Drosophila melanogaster: one gene and its partner. The protein of the gene in region 2 interacts with the protein of the main gene of each other region in a biochemical or structural test. Each region holds a gene or a part of one and is shown on either strand. Other genes may lie near its edges.

Region 1 (7,021 bases), on a different chromosome or scaffold from region 2:
TTCCACTCGAGCTGAATGAAATTCAAAAAGCCCGCTCGATTGGCCGCCTATCGATGACGATACGCTCCAGCTGGTTGCTGTTCCAGCGAAATACAAAAGGTAAACAAATGCGACTTGGAGCACAGACTTCGAATGGAGCATTAGCATAAACACAACAGGCCGCAGTGCCGGAGTCAAGTGGCAGGGCCCAGGGTGAACACAACCACATCCAGTATCTGATGAGCACAGCGTAGAACTTAGGAAATCGAGGCCACAAGCAGAAGCAGCAGGAGAAGCAGCGGTTGTGAAAGAAGTTGGCGAGCAAAAGTGAAAGTTGCGCCAGAAAAATGATGAAAATTGTACTCATCAGCGGCAAGCGAAAGTGCGGCAAGGATTACATATCCGAGAGGCTGCAGCGGAGGTGGGTGCAGTGCATAGCTAGTCGTAGAAATCTTGCCAATTTGTTAAATTTGCACTGCTTGCTGCAGAAATATTCAGACAAATAAAATCCAATTCCATTCCAGATTGGGCTCCCGGTCGTGTATCGTTCGAATCTCAGAGCCCATTAAGTCGGAATGGGCTCGCAAGCTGCAGTTGGACCTGGACGCTCTCCTCGGTGATGGACCCTACAAGGAGAAGTACCGGCGCGACATGATTGTGTGGAGCGACGAGGTGCGGGCCCAGGACTACGGCTACTTCTGCCGCGTGGCCATGGAGGAGGCGCTGAGTCGCCAGCAGACGCCCTACATTCTGGTCAGCGATGTGCGGCGCAAGAACGACATCAGGTGGTTCCGGGAGACTTACGGGCCGGAACGAGTCATCACCTTGCGTCTAACATCCCGTCCAGAAACGCGGTCTGCACGGGGATGGACCTTTACCGCAGGAATAGACGATGTTCCCTCCGAGTGCGATCTGGATGATCTGGCCGACGGCTTCGACGTGGTGTTGGCCAACGACGAGGAACTCGACCAGGAGGCCATCGACATTCTGCTGGATAGGCTGCAGCTGCAGTATCGATAGAGCTTGGACCTCTCGGCTCACCATGCTTTGAACAAATGTATTTTTGATATATCACGTATTCCGGTCACAAATAGCGTAGTTAATGCAATACACTAGACAAGAATGAAGTTACGTACCTAATAGTAAATACTCTTGGTAACGAAATAGAGCTTGTGTGGCGGTTTTACTAACTTGCAACGTTTAAGACTTAATAGATTCAATGGATATACAAACTATATGTCGCTGATTATCGGTAATAGGTTACTTCAGGAATAAATAGCCCGGTTTCCAAATGTTAGAATAATACTCATGAGCAAACTGCATCCATCAATTTATGTGCACAATGTACTGGCAAGCAAACTAATAAAATGATTTATTAAAAGATGAGTAATAAAAGTATGTGTCGTGAGAAAAGACTATGATTTGGTGGGTTTTGATGGACATAAGGCAATAGTAGCTACTAAGCTGTGTTAGTAAACGGGTCCGCTGAATCCCTCTGTGCCAGAGATTATCCGCAGTTGATCGTTGAAGCTCTGCGCGGGCGGAATCTGATTCTTCTTAGAATCCTTTTCCATTGAACGGGATCGCAGATGCGGCTTATTCTTAACGCAACTGAGTGGAGTTCGCTTTTGTGCGGACAGGGGGGTACTGTTTGTCTTGGGCGTAATGGATCCTCCGGTCACCGGGGACCCCTCCTCTTGGTCAACATAGATCTTTGGCTTGTTGGCTCTGGCGGGCTTGCGCGGTGGCACACGACGCTTGTGACCCAAACGCACTCGCTCCAAATGTTTGTTCGACGGCACTTCTGGTAGCTGCTCCTCGCCAGCGACAAAGGAGGCCATGCTGCTGCCAGTGCTGAGATTCAGGGTCAGTGTTTCCAGGATGTGCTCCAGCATCTGGGCCTCGCGTGCCTCCTCCTCCTCGTCGTCGCAGAAGATGATGGGTGTGCGATCGACGCCCAGGCTGGGCGATCGGGGATCACCATGGGGCTGCTGTTCTGGCGGGGGCGTGGCCATTTTCACCTGGCCCTGCTCCAGATTCGGCTCCTGATACGGCAGCAGCTGTTGCTCGCAAGGCAAGGTTTCTTCCTGATCATAGGGCAGTGAAACAATCTCCAGGGAAATATTGTTGTGTGCAGCAGACGGCGGTGTGCCGAAGCTATCGCAGCTCTCCTCTAAATCCACTTGGGGCGGTGATGCAGGCACTGCTCTCTGTGCTGTACCCACCCTGGTGTCCACGAAGAGATCGGCGAATGTGTCATCCATATTAAGCGAACGAACCTCATCGAGGACCAGTGGAGTGCGATTCAGCTGAGGAGAGCGAGGATCGTTCAGGGAGAAGCCCTTGAGCAAACGTTTTCGCAGCATGGAGAAGGCATTTTCACTGGTGGTCACATGCTGCTCCTCCTCCTCAACGCGAGGTTTTGACGCCTGCAAGAACTACAACGCAGCCATCATTACTAGGGTTAGTAATATCAAAAAATACCTAATGCCTATAAACTCACGGTTAAAGGCGTGCGGCAGCCATTTGGTGATCGAGGATCGAGCAAAGCGTTGTTTTGCTCTCGATTCGGCGTCGTCATTTCCATTTGTTCTCGCTTTTCGCTGGCCAGGCGCATTTTGTTTAGTGTCGGCGTATCCGGCAGATATTCACCTTCCATTTTTGTTGCCTTTGCTCCCATTTTAATCAAATAATCTGACTTATTTTGCGACTTCTCACTAAATGTTGCGGGGTAAAATAAAATCGTTGCCGCGCATTTGTTTTGAAATGGCGTCGTGTGGAGTTGCCGGATCAGGAAATGCCAACTGGTAACAGTATTGTTAACGTCAGTCTAGCTATTTTCAAGCCAATTCTAGCAGTGATTACAAATGGATTTTATCACTAGTTCTTTCATTATTACTAATAACTAACTAATCGTTACAAATATAAATAGAAATTAAACAACGTTTGGGATATTTAGAACTTAAGTCTGTAATGTTTAGGTGGATTCTTCTTGTTTTACTCCTCTCAAATAAATTTATGAATTGATTTTTATTTATAGTACATAAGAAAATGTAAAATTCAGTAAACAAATAAACTAATATTAAAGTTATCAGATATTTTTTTTAATTTCGCTTTACAGCACTGATTTTTATGCTGCCTCGCGATAGTGTCATCTCCCTCCAGCTAAAGTCTGGCAACACTTGTTCATTTAAGACGCGACACAACGAATTGTACTCTTTCAGTTTTTCAAAAAGAAAATGGCATGAAAACAGGCCAAAAAAGTGCGACAAACGAAGAGCTAAATCCCAAAGTAAGTGGTAAAGTAAGTGATAAACATCCAAATGAAAGCAACCCAAATGCATACATAAATGCGCGAGTGTGTGTGCTAAATTATAACAGTAGTGACTGTGTACCTTCACGGAAAAAGGGAAATGAAGACAGGAAACTGGGTTTTTTTACTCCAGATGACTATTTTTATTGAATTTACGCAGTTGCTGTACTAAATAGGCGAGTGTTTTTGTGTATGTGTGTGTGGGCGCCGCAAGCAGCAGTAAATTCTCCTGTGTGTATATGTGTTTTTTTTTTCTATGGCCGTCTCCTTTTTACACACACTAGCGCACAATACAGCTGCGCCTTGTTTTTTGCCGACATTTTTTCTGCTTAGTTTTATTTATTTTATTTCAATTAGGCAGACAAATTATTTTGCTCGCTTTGTGGAGCCATCAATGTGGGTTAGTAAGCTAAAGTGCTGCGTAAAATTGCGCTATTGTTTTATTTGCCAATTGTAGCGCAAAAAGTAAGCAAATTGTATACACACAAACGCCAGAGCGCATGTCGTGCAGACTTTCTCTCTTGCTCCAAATTGCGAGTGTATGCATCTGCGTTCGTGTGCGTGTGAGTACTGAAAACAACCGAATTTCATTCATTGCTCATTTCCGAGAAAAACTACACGCTACACTCGTCGCCATCTGCAATTGCACCTCTGTGTGCGTAAGTCACTGTATCACAAGTACATTATATGAACTATGTATATAGGAGCCGCTGCAGTTGTGCAACATGTTAATTGATTCCAGGGGCTGCTGGGCGTGGCAGGTGCAAAAGCCCCTTCCACCTGGCTTCTATTTACAGAAACTTCTTCCCACTTCCAGAGTTCAACATTCTTGCTCTTCCCGTCGCTTGACCGCGTTTTTCAAACATTCCACGAGCGGTCTTAGCACACTCACACCGGCACGCTATGTGTGTATACATACGTATGTACGTATATTGATTTCAATCAACTTTGAAGCGCGCTCTGGCCTTCTCCTTCGCTCATTCGGCGGTGTGCTATGCTCTGCCTGTCTCTCTCGTGCTCATCTGTCAATTGAGCACCACGTCCGTTTGTCGGCTCATCAGCAATTTACACAGACACACACTTCACCGCGCTGCATCCGTGTGGGTAAATTCCATTTCCTGTTTATAATATTGCGGCGTCTTGTCTGTCTGTCTGTCTGGCGTACAGCGGAGACGCAAACCAGCGTCCCTTTCGCCTTTCGTTCCGCTCATCTCGCTGCACAATGGATCGATCCTAAATAAGCATCTTTTAAAAAGTATTCAAAGTTTGTAAATCGTAACGCATAGCAAATATATTGTTATCGTCATAGTTTGTCATGGTTATAGTTTTGTTAGCTTATTTTTGTTATTCTAAACATTTTAAATTAATACTACATCTTTTTGCAAATCGGATATCCGTCTACTTTCGCTCTTATCCCACGTACATATCTCCCACTTACGATCATCCGCGAGTTTCGGTTCCGTAGCACGTTACCTTACGCATCGCAACCACTGTGCCGTTGGCATTGGAACGCTGACCGCTTTGCGGCTGGGAACGATGGGGAATCGGAACATCCGAATGCGACGCGCTCCGCTCTTATTCGAATTCCCAGCCTGATCCGGCTGTCACTGCTCTTGTTGTTGCGGCAGCGGTGAGTTGAGTAGTACAGTACGTGCCACTTCCTTTACATTCAGAAAAATAAAAATTGCTCACACACACTCATGCATGTATACGCCTAAAGCATACATAAACAGACGTTCCGGACAGACAGACAAACATTGAGTGGAGCGTTGGGAGGGGAGCGGTTGCTTGGCGTCTGCGCCGTGTGTTGTTGCTTTTATGCTGCCCCTACTTATTGTTCTTGTACAGTTGCAAAGCCACTCACATGCGTGTGTGTGTGTGTGTGTGGAGCCAAAACAGTGAAAACGAGTTTGATGTCTGGCTAGATATGGCAACTCTGTCGGCGAGTGCACATCCCCCCAACCCCAAGCCCCAAGCACCCGCTTATTAGAAGAGAAATACCGCAGAGCGTTGTTGTTGATTTTACGTAAGAAGGCCGTCGAACTCAGCATAGAAAATGGTGAGCGAAAGAAAGAGCGGCCGCGAGATAGATGAAATATGGGGGCCCACGACCAGAACCACAGCCAGAGAGAGTGTGCATGCAAATAGGTGCGAGTGTGTGCGTCTAATGATTACCGTTACTATTTGCATGTTGTCTAGTCAGACGTCTCGCGACCCAGACTGTGCGACCCACCAGGCAATTGGCGAAAAATTCTTCGTCGTGACCTTTCATCGTCATCGTTTCAACCGGACATCCAAGCTATATGCATATGTATGTATGTATGTGTGCGTGACAGTAATGTTGTTTATTGATTTTATTAGCATTGCCTTCGAATTGGCTTTCCGAATGAGCATACAAATATATACGACAATGACGGTAATGGCGGTAAAAACGTTAGCAAATTGCAAGAATGCACTGAAAAAAATTCATACAGTGGGGCAATTAAAAGTACATTAATGTCTCTAGGGCTCTAGGAACTCTGCTGGTTCGTAACATTTAGATTGCAGATATGAACTAACTAATATCGGCCAAATTACGCGAAAGAAAACCAATTACAAAGCGGTCTGGAGGAATCCTTCGCAAAGCATTGCTAGTGCTGTGACTGCAGCTGTACACTTGCCACTCAGTTGCGTGCATTTCTGCATTTCTGCCGGCTGTGGTTCAACGTCCTAAGCCGCACACAACAAGTGCAACAATTGTAACATCAACAAAGCAACAGAACACCGCAAAAGGGGCAGAAAAGCGGTGTGGCAAAGAAGCACAACTTGATGGGGGAATCGGATTGGGAATGGGAATGCACAAATGCAGAAGCGAAGCGACGAAGATGGCAAACGGAATGAGGGCAGGTCCTAGGGCAATCCATTAACATTTTGCCCATCGCCCATCCCCCATCATCATCGTCATCGTCATCGTCGTCATCTTCTTGGTATTATTGTACAGTTGAACCTGTAGCACTGAGTCCCGTCCCGCTGGGCTGTGAACTAAGCCGATTGATTGTCCAAATCTCACCAGAATCGAATTGCCATCCGGGTGACTCTTGGTTTCTTTCTTTTCCTGCCTTTTTCTACTTTTCTCCCGCTTTTGGATGCATTCCGACATAACCCAGAAAGCGTGTGCCAGGTTGTTGCTGTTGTGTCGCTTGTGACGTCAATTGGCTGTGGAATGGTGTCTGCGGCCCACATTGCGGACCGACTGCCCACCGGAAACGGGTAGTTGTGCCGCTTTCATACATGCAGTACATGTACATAGGTCGAATCCGCCTTATTAGAGGTGGAGAAACATCGATGATTCCTCGAAAAACATCGATGTTTGTGATTTTTTGAAAAAATCGACGACATCGACGTTGGCATTTCAGTAAAGGAATTCCAAAATCTCATTTACCTGTGAAAACCGCGCCCCAAATGTTTTAGATCGCGTATGGATTTTCCCAGAATATATACATAAAATAAATATATGTAATTTTATAACATAAAGTTACCTCTTGGGAGCTCTCGAAGCTGCAGCACACCTTTTTACCATATTTTTGAGTGAATGTGCAGTTATTGGAGAAACCCTCTTCCAGCCCTGATACGCGAATCTCCAGCAAGTTGCTCCCATTTCAAGGGGCGTTGAATCGCGAGAATCTGGAAAGTCAAAATAGCAATATTTATGGCAACGACATCGGTCGGAGCTTTATTTTTGGCGCGCTT
Region 2 (9,924 bases):
CGGGCATCAACATTTGTGTTTGCACTGGTGTCTCCTTTTGGCTGCCAGAAATGCCAGTGTCGACATGTCCTGGGAACCATTCCAAATTCCGAGCGGTCTTCGGCATACATACAAATGTCCTTTTTTGGACAAAACTGCTTATTTTCAGTCCTGCTGCTGCACTGACCGCAAACCCAATGCCGTTGTCCTGCGTTCGTTTTGGTTTCTGGGCTTCTCGATTCGGTTTTGGGATTTGGGATGCACAATAATTTGAACAATTGCTACTTGAATGCAATGTTTATGTTCAATTATCGTGGCAGCACCACTGACCCAAGCGGTGGACTCCGTTCGGTTCGTTGCAGTTCATTGATTGACATTTTTATTATGCATATTCGCTGGTCTGTTATCCTTGCTACGCTCCCTCCCTTCCTTCCTTCCTTCCTTCCGTCCACCAACGCTGTTCATAACAATAAATTTCCAATTTGTCTTTAGCATTGGCCATAATGACGTCCACAAAAGAGACCTTAATCCAATAGATAAATTTCGAGCATTCCCTGGCTTCTTGGCCAGGACTCTTTGCTCCTTTTATGCGAAGGGAGACACAACTCCCACGATTCCTTCGACTGTTGTGGACAGTCTCATTACTTACTCCATTATTATTGGCCTTCATTCTCAATCAATTTTTCAATTCCACTCCCATTGCCATTTGCAATTGGCCCGTCAAGTTTGTATTTCGCCCCTTTGGTATCTTCAACGCCCGTCACTTCTGGCATTTCCATTGTTATTTGTTTGTTTGCAAATTTGTTCAAGAAGTTGTCGTTATATTCTATTTCGCAAGCTTTTCCTCTGCTCAAAATCAAAATGATTAAAACAACAGTTTGATACGAATTTTAATTCCCCTTTTTGCTGCGGAGTCAGTTAAGTGAGTCGCTTTCAGGACTCAGGGCATCATCCAGATCGCACGATCCCATTTGCATCTGCCTTCTCAGAAGCTGCTTGAAAGACGCGCCCCTGTCGGATGATTAGTGCTAAGATCCTTGGGCAGGATGGAAAAATGGGAAAACATGCGGTGGGAAAAACACACATCGCGAAACATTTGGCGCAACTTGCGGAAGACAAGTGCGGCTGCAACAAAAAGTCGCGAAACGAAACTCTGGGAAGCGGAAAAAGGACACCTTGCTGTGCGGCGGGAAGCGCAAGTGGCGGGCGGAATTTCCTGATTCGCGATGCCATGAGGCACTCGCATATGTTGAGCACATGTTTTGGGGGAAATTCCCGGGCGACGGGCCAGGAATCAACGTCCTGTCCTGCGTGGGAAAAGCCCACGTCCTACCCACGCCCACTCGGTTACCTGAATTCGAGCTCGAGTGTTTTGGGTGGCTGAGATTGCTTTGGTACGGTGGCTGACCTTGCCAGTGCCAGTGGGTCCATGTCCGTGGAGTGCTGGCAATGCGTGTCTGGCACAATGAAAACGCAGCAATGGAGGATGGAGGAACTCGACCTGAGGGAACGTGGGAAAAAAGGATTTACGATGAAGATGAGCTGAGAAACTCCGAGCTGATGACGTGCCTGGTCATGGGCATGTAGTGCAGCAACTGTGTTTTCGTATCTGCTTACCTGTTGCACGCACATGTTAAAAAGTCATCATAAATCTCAGTGGACGAGGACGAGGACTCTGAATCTGTTTCGCCTCTCTTTTGCGCCCAGTGAAAATATTTTCACTTTTCATGCGGGAGTTTTCATGCCGCCGATGAGGATGACTGGCCAGGATGGGTATATCTATCTATTAGATCTGTGTAAATTCCCAGCTTATCATGCAAAACACGTAACCACGTCGTCTCGATCCTTTCGGCCAGGAAGCCGAAAGCTACTCCTTTTGTGCAACATGCCGTGGTGACCTTTCCCGCGAACTCGTGACTGCAACGGCTCAGGCTGCCTAATAATTTGTATAAATATTTATTTTTGCTACCGATTTCTATCTGCTCGCTCAACGCCTCCGAGGGAGCTCTCGCTGGAAAAGGTGTGAAATTCGAAACCCCTGACAATGATGATCTTCTACGGGGAATCGGGGAATCAAGGGGAATCAGGACGGGGCTCGGTTTCGAATTCGATTCCATGACATGTTCTGCATTGCTGAGCCGATATACTTTATTTGCATTTTTGGCCACTTGCAGTGGCACGTTCCCTTAAAAACAACAGAATTATAGAAGCAATGTTTTAGCTATTGAACGGTTACGTATCAATAGAGGAATTTTAAAACTATTTCTAAGCAAGCAAATAGTTTTGCTAGTTTTTTTAGTTTAGAAACTAATTTACATTACCATTGTGAGCAATTGTGACATTGAAGTTATTTCTGGAAACTATTCGAAAGTGCGGAGCTAAAGAAAAAGCGACTGCTACTACCGATTTCATCATCTTTAATTGTGTTAACAATTTGTTTGACTTTCTTGTCTTTGTTTAAAGGCATCGACGGGAAACTCAGCAAAACAATGGACTTGGTACCTTTACAAATACAACTAAAATGAGCTTAAACCTCTTCTAGTACGTTAATATATATTACTAGTAATAATATAAAATGAGATAAAAGTCGGTTTTGCTGAAAGGCAATTAAACGCAAAGGCCTTGCTAGAATTTCGCAACATTGCAGAGATTAGAGCTCAGATCTGCGTAGTAGGCCATGACAAAGCGCAGATCGCTGGAGATCGGCGAGAAGACAGAAGACAGAAGACGACGCATTTGTTAGTCAGTGGCATTGGCAAGAAGTGCTGGCCCGTCTGGATGAGTCATTCACCGTTATGTGGCAAGGCGGCAGATGGGGGAAACCAGTGAATAACCAGCGACGAAAAACCTTCGAACCGCTCGCCTCGAGCTGCAGCAGTCGAGTGACTGCAGTGCGCACACCCCACCCACCCACACAAGACAAGATCCGGATGTGCCATGCAACACTTATACGGCCGAACCAAAACACAACATGTTCGAAGTGGCTCTCTTATACTGCACCGCACAGCGAGCACTTATAAAGGCCGGCTGCCTTGCCTTTCGAAAGTCAGTTGCGTGCGAGCCGCGAGCGCGAGATCATCAAACTGAGAAAGTCGGACTGCGACTCGAAACTGAAATTGAAACTGAAAGAAAGAAATATTCAAATTGTCGTGTGTGTGGGTGCAAGCAGAGAATATATATCTCAAGAATATCTGAATACAAGCTCCTGGATTTACGAGCAGCAAAACTAAGTTACCAATGTGCGAGCCGAAAAAAGCGAGTGAAAAACGTGCGAATATGCCAGCTAACTAAAGACATTTGGATTACAAGAAACCCACGCATTTTGGATTATAAACATTGCGACAGGCAGAAAAACCTAAGGTAAGCCCCCGACCCTAATGAGAAAATGCGCGAGAGCTAAAAGATACAAGATACAAAATATGAGTTGCGAGATACAAGCTACAAGCCACAAGGGATATGCAAGAAATGTGCAAATTGCAATAGAAATTGTCACAGCGGCAAAACAAAAGCATTTCAACTTAGAGGCGTAATGAGTTTGTTCAACCTGTGTGCCCGCTCGCTCTATCTCTCTCGCTCGCACCCTTTGCCCGTTTTTTTTTTTAGGGGTGCGAGTGCAGCAGAAAGCATAAAAAATGCAAATTACACCGCGGGCCATGTGAAACTATGTTTCTGACCAAACAGACAAAAAAAAAAAATGAGAAGAAAGAAATGATGAAAAGAAGGCCGAATGAATTAATTCATTATGTCTTAAAGCCCGCTTTCGACATCTCTTCTTCATGCTCGCATGGACATTCGGTGCAGTCTGCAATTAAAGTTAATAAATAAATTAATTAATAAGCGGCCGACTGCGATTTCGTGCCTTATTGAAATTGCTAGGCAACCGAAATGAAGAACATGAAAAGAGCGCCAGCCAAGGCACGGCACCCACTCACTTTTTCGAGCAGTGTAGGTAGCAGACACAAAAGCAACAACGGTGCGTGTGTGCAATGCGACTTGAGGCGAAAGAGAGAGAGGGGGCATATGCGAACACAATGAGTGTGAGTGGGAGAAACGCGTTTTTTTAAGTTTATTTTTTTTTTTTTTGTTGAGCAAGGCAATGAATTTGTTATTTTTTTTCCTTGTTGCGACGAACAGTTGTTTGGGGAATTTAAGAAGATTTGTGCTGTGACTGTAATTGAATCGAATGCGATTAACATAATTTGTGAGGAAATGTCTCTGGGCAATGAATTACAATAATGCCTGGCCATTAGCTGATTAGTTGGCCATTAGCGAAGATGATTTCAGGGCTGAAAGTGCAGTTTATGTAACGGCGTAGATGCTACACAAGCTACATCTTCAATTTTGTCCAGCTAATTTCGGGCCACAAAAGCAAACTTGGCCCATCAAATTTTATGGTTAGCTCACACAAGCTGACCCAGTTTTCCCTTCGGGGAAAAGCAGCCAGGAAGTTGCAGGCATCGGAATCCGTGTCCCAGGCCATAAACAAAATTCTTACCCACAAAGAAGCAGGCTTTTCCTTCGCTTTTCTTTTATTTCTGCTGCATTTCCCCACACACTCTGGTTTTTCTGAAGTGTTGTAATTGCTCTTGTTTTGTGCTGCGTTTTATGAATAACTTATGCACTTAATTGATTTTTGTTTATTGTTCGGTTCAAGTTAATTAATTACACACTTTATGCGCTCCTCTCTTTCTCCAGAATTTCTTCAACGGCGCCAGCATGGAGAACTTAACGCAGAATGTAAACGAAACCAAGGTGGATTTGGGCCAGGAGAAGGAGAAGGAGGCGTCGCAGGAGGAGGAGCATGCCACCGCCGCCAAGGAGACCATCATTGACATTCCCGCCGCGTGCTCCAGTTCCTCCAACTCCTCGTCGTACGACACCGATTGCAGCACGGCGAGCAGCACCTGCTGCACCCGCCAAGGCGAGCACATCTACATGCAACGCGAGGCCATCCCGGCCACGCCACTTCCGGAGTCGGAGGATATCGGCCTGCTGAAGTACGTCCACCGCCAGCACTGGCCCTGGTTCATCCTAGTGATCTCCATCATTGAGGTAAGCACACACACAGCGAACTCAGTAACTCAACCCATTAAATCAAAGAAGCCGCAAACTTTCATCCCAAGAGCGATAAAAATGATATAGGGGGCGGAAAGCGGCGACGAAGGGCGGAAGTTTTCCGAGAGTTTTCCTCGCTTTTCGTGTTTCGTTTTCTGCGTCTGACTCGCTGGCGCCCCCGAAAATCGATTGTAAACAAGTTGAACAACAAAACAGCCGAAGGAAAAAAAGCGAACAGAAAAGTTTATGAAACCAGACCGTTCGTAGTTTTTTCTTTTTTTTATTTTTTAAGGGCAGACCAAAAATTGTCATGTGAAAAACAGTGGAAGATGAGAAGATGGAAATGATAGTTAGTTTGATAGCGAAATTGGTAACTTGGAACATTGAGTTTAAAATAAACAATACACTTTTACATGACCCCTTACATTCGTATTGGAAATAATTTGCTTCGTATAGAAACTAGCACGAATATCAAATAAACAGGGCGGCCCACGGGGCGTATGAGTTTAGTGAGTTTGAAGCCCTGCCAAGTTGGCAGGACTCGCCCCTAAGCATTCTCATAAGACTTTATTTGGAACGTGGTCGCGTGCCAGACAGCAACAACATAAATCAGAGCGAGAGCCCAGAACTAACCCCCAATTCTTTGCGTCTCTGTCCATTTTAGATTGCCATCTTCGCCTACGACCGCTACACAATGCCCGCCCAGAATTTCGGGCTACCCGTTCCGATTCCGTCGGATTCGGTGCTGGTCTATCGGCCGGACCGGCGTCTGCAGGTGTGGCGCTTCTTTAGCTACATGTTCCTGCACGCCAACTGGTTCCACCTGGGCTTCAATATCGTCATCCAGCTGTTTTTTGGCATTCCCCTGGAGGTGATGCACGGCACGGCCAGGATCGGCGTGATCTACATGGCGGGCGTTTTTGCCGGATCCCTGGGCACCAGTGTCGTCGACTCGGAGGTCTTCCTGGTGGGCGCCAGCGGTGGCGTCTATGCCCTGTTGGCCGCACATCTGGCCAACATTACACTGAACTATGCGCACATGAAGAGCGCATCCACGCAACTCGGATCCGTTGTCATCTTTGGTGAGTTTCCCCACACCTTATGACTAGAATCTATAGAACCTAATCTATCCTACCTAAACACGAATTTGTCACATCTTTTTCTTCTATGTTTAACTTAACTAACTTGAATCCCTTCTGTTCTTCCATTTGCAGTCTCCTGCGATCTGGGCTATGCTCTCTACACCCAATACTTCGATGGAAGCGCCTTCGCCAAGGGTCCCCAGGTGTCGTACATTGCCCACCTGACGGGAGCCCTGGCAGGACTAACGATCGGCTTTCTGGTGCTAAAGAACTTCGGTCACCGAGAGTACGAGCAGCTCATCTGGTGGCTAGCGTTGGGCGTCTACTGTGCCTTCACCGTCTTCGCCATCGTTTTCAACCTGATCAACACGGTGACCGCTCAGCTGATGGAGGAGCAGGGTGAGGTGATTACCCAGCATCTGTTGCACGACCTGGGAGTGTCCTAAGTTTGAGGTTCGGAGTCGTCAGCATGCTCGCAGGGATTCGGAATCTGCTTGAGCTTCAGGAGAGATCGAGAGACAGAGAGTTGGTGGAAAAGAAAAGTTCACTCAACGATTTAGTTCAAAACTAATTCGATATTCGTTTGGCTTTTGCTTTTCGTTAGCATTATCTCGTTATCGTTACCGTTTGCAGTTAAACGTTTCAGTTCCGAAACATAGTACACAAACTCAAAAAAAAAAAAAACAAATCAAGAGAAATACACTGGACAAAAAGAAAGTGCGAGGAGTGAGGAGAACATAAACCGAAGCCGAAACGTGTAAACAAATGTTGTGATAGAACCAAAGACTGAATTTATTTCGCGTGTAAAAACCAAGTAAAAATCAAGAGGAAAATCAAAGAGGAGAAACAGAACTAATCGCCTCTCGCTATGATTTAAATGATTTATCCATGTTTTCAATTAATGGTTTGTCTGTTTTCTTAAATTATGTATTTATTGGCCGCAATTACTACGAATGAATCGAATCGAAGCATCAGCAAACTGTATCAAATTGTTTATACATCCATAAGCATAATGTGCTCCGAATTGTAGGATTTAGTGTTATAATTTATATATATTTAGGTATAACTAGCCCTCCTAACAAATTGTTTCAAATTGTAAATACTATTAAGTCGCACACTAGTCAAACAACAACAACAGCAACAGCAAAAACAACAAAAAAAATATGGAAAACCACAGCAAAGAACCATTCAATTCAGATCAATTAAGCAAATCGAGTTAAATTAAATTAAATTATACTAAAGTCACTTAATGCGTTACAAAATCGAGCATCGTAATCCCCTACACACACACACACACACACACACTCGAAAGTATTACTAATTATATTTATTTATGGTAGGGCAGCGAGGGTTTATTAATTCGTCAATTGAGCGAACTATTTATTTATTTATTTATTTAATAATTTAGTGAAATTCACACAAACAAGCACGAAAAAACAACAACAACACAAGAGAGAGAAGAAACAAACCAATTCAACTGTAAAAATATCCAATTGAAAAATACACACGAAAAGCCAAAGAAAATAAAAAATCAAAACATTTCAAGAATACAACAGTAATAACAAAATACAAGCAAAAGCGTTTTCATTTCCCATTTTGTATTTTTATTTTACTTTCAGTTTTTGGCTGTCGGCTCGCTTGGTTTTAATTCCCACAATTTAAGGGCAATAAATAATCGAGCCAGCAGATTATCAAGATACTTGACATATTGACCGATACACATATATATATACATATATATATATATATATCGTACGCAAATAGAGAAATATTCAAAGTAATCGCCGAATGAAAACAGCTAATCTGGCATAAAGGCCAGCAAAGCGTAAGCCAAAATAGAATCCTTTTGGGCCACAAAACCCCAAGATAGCATACTCGATTTTCCAAAATAATGGATCCACACTCCACCCGATGAAAAAAAAAAAACAAAACAAAAAAATAAAATAAAACAAACTAGGAAACGGAAATGTTCAGCACGAGACAAGGGACAGAAGAAATGCAAATAGCAAAAAATTATAGATAAATAAATAAGGAGAGAAAAATTGAACAAAAATAAATGTCTAAATTATATATGAATTTCTCGTTTTCTTCACAAATAACTCAGGGCGAGTTGAGCTTGTGTATGTATGTATCCTCTGCTGGATGAGTTTTTTGGGGGGCAGCCCAATCAATATTTGCTCCACATAAATATGGCAATTCAAAGCGAAAGGTTGCAACTACAACTAAGACTCGAAGAAAATCCTTAATTAATACCCACTCCGCAGAAGACTTGTGTCAACGAATTTTCCCACTCGAATGTTGCCACTGCCACCAATCGATAGTTGCCCCAATATGAAATATGAAGGCGCAGCATACGCATTTTGTAATAATTCATATTGTCTGTGATTCCACATCTCATGCGAGTATTATATTCAATCCAACTGGATTAGCAGGACTAAGTCCATGAATTTCCAAATCGGCATTCAACTCGAAGGACTTGAAGCGAACCAAAAACATTTGCCAGCTGTTTGCGTTTAGTCGACTAATGCATACCTATTAGCAATAAGCACTTAATAGAAAACTAAAGCAGAAACATGCTGATCGAGTACAACTAATCGAAATTGTTGAGGATATTCTCAATTAGTCCTGTACTTCCCACCTAATTTAAGAAATACAAACCTACTCTTTTACTAAAAAAGTACAGGGTATAATCCCCCAATATTTCACTTATTAATGATGCATAATCAAGGAAGCGTTGGCAAATCAAAGATGCTTGATTACATCGGAAAATGAATAAAACACTTGGATGAAACAGTAAAATGTACGTAAGTAATACAATTCACATAGACTAAGAACATCTTTTTTGTGTTCCGCTAACTGCAATTAGTAATTGTGCATAATCAGAGCTGAATGATTGCACCTGTCAATTAATTTCCGCTTAAATTATACAATTACGGGCGATGGGCGATACAAGAGATACAGCAACACAATAAAGCAGATGTGCCTCCAAAATGGGGCACAAGCTTAGTGCCTTCGGATTTTGGGGGACGAAGTAGACACTCACCGCCACTTGCAACTCCCAAATCCCAACGCCCGTGCAAGAAGACAGACAAGCCAACCTCATCCAATCCAATCCATTCCAATCCAATCCAATCCAATCCCATCCGAAACGCACCCGGAGAGTCTAGGCAGTTTGAGGAGCAAGATTTATGGTAGACAGGAGCTGCCGCCTCGTGGACATCAAATTGAAATTCAGGCACAATGTCAACAGCAATCGAGGACGAGGTCAGACAGGCTCAGACGACGGCGGCAACTGCGAGTGCGAGTGCCAGTGCCAGTGCCAGTGCGAGTTGGAGTCGGAATCAAGAGCTGGCTCTGCGGAGCCGAAAAATCCACATAAATAACGCGGGCATCCAACTGACCCCCTCTCAGCCCGTTGGCATCTCGTCCAGCTCGTTTCTGCGAATGGCAGGTGCAACTCAATCAACGCTCCTCGCCTCGCCGCCCTTCGCGGTATTTTGCCACAACGTTGCATGTCATCTGTTTGGGGCTCGGTCGCTGTAGCTGTGGACAGAAGCTGCGGCTTCGACTGGGAGCCACCTGCCCAAAAGTTGACTTTGAACGTTTTTGTTTACATTTGGCGGAAAGGTGAAGTGGCGCAGCGCAAAGCTGCCACGGCAACGAATGGAATGGAGTCAGCATCAGAGCCAGAGTCACAGTCACATCCAGAATCAGAATCAGAATCCGAAACGGATCCAGAACTCAACTGAGGAAGCTGGTAGCAAGTTTCGAGTGGGTATCACAGATCAACGATCTGCAGATCGAACAG

The links. The genes of interacting proteins can lie anywhere in the genome.
Region 1: of the proteins of rho (region 2) and spi, one has a biochemical effect on the other in vitro, tested with the Drosophila melanogaster proteins (7 studies listed by BioGRID).

The regions. Positions count from the first base shown.
Region 1 is NT_033779.5:19,573,436-19,580,456, reverse strand, and holds the start of spi (spitz), read left to right. Parts: upstream 1-3,141; 5' UTR 3,142-3,271; intron 3,272-4,869; exon of another isoform or gene 4,870-4,922; intron 4,923-7,021. Other genes in the region: Pmvk (phosphomevalonate kinase), read left to right, coding at 327-400, 504-999; msb1l, read right to left, coding at 1,449-2,417, 2,483-2,659. UniProt on the Drosophila melanogaster protein: Ligand for the EGF receptor (Gurken). Involved in a number of unrelated developmental choices, for example, dorsal-ventral axis formation, glial migration, sensory organ determination, and muscle development. It is required for photoreceptor determination.
Region 2 is NT_037436.4:1,460,792-1,470,715, forward strand, and holds rho (rhomboid), read left to right. Parts: upstream 1-3,019; 5' UTR 3,020-3,339; intron 3,340-4,674; 5' UTR 4,675-4,695; coding exon 4,696-5,031; intron 5,032-5,698; coding exon 5,699-6,116; intron 6,117-6,248; coding exon 6,249-6,562; 3' UTR 6,563-8,153; downstream 8,154-9,924.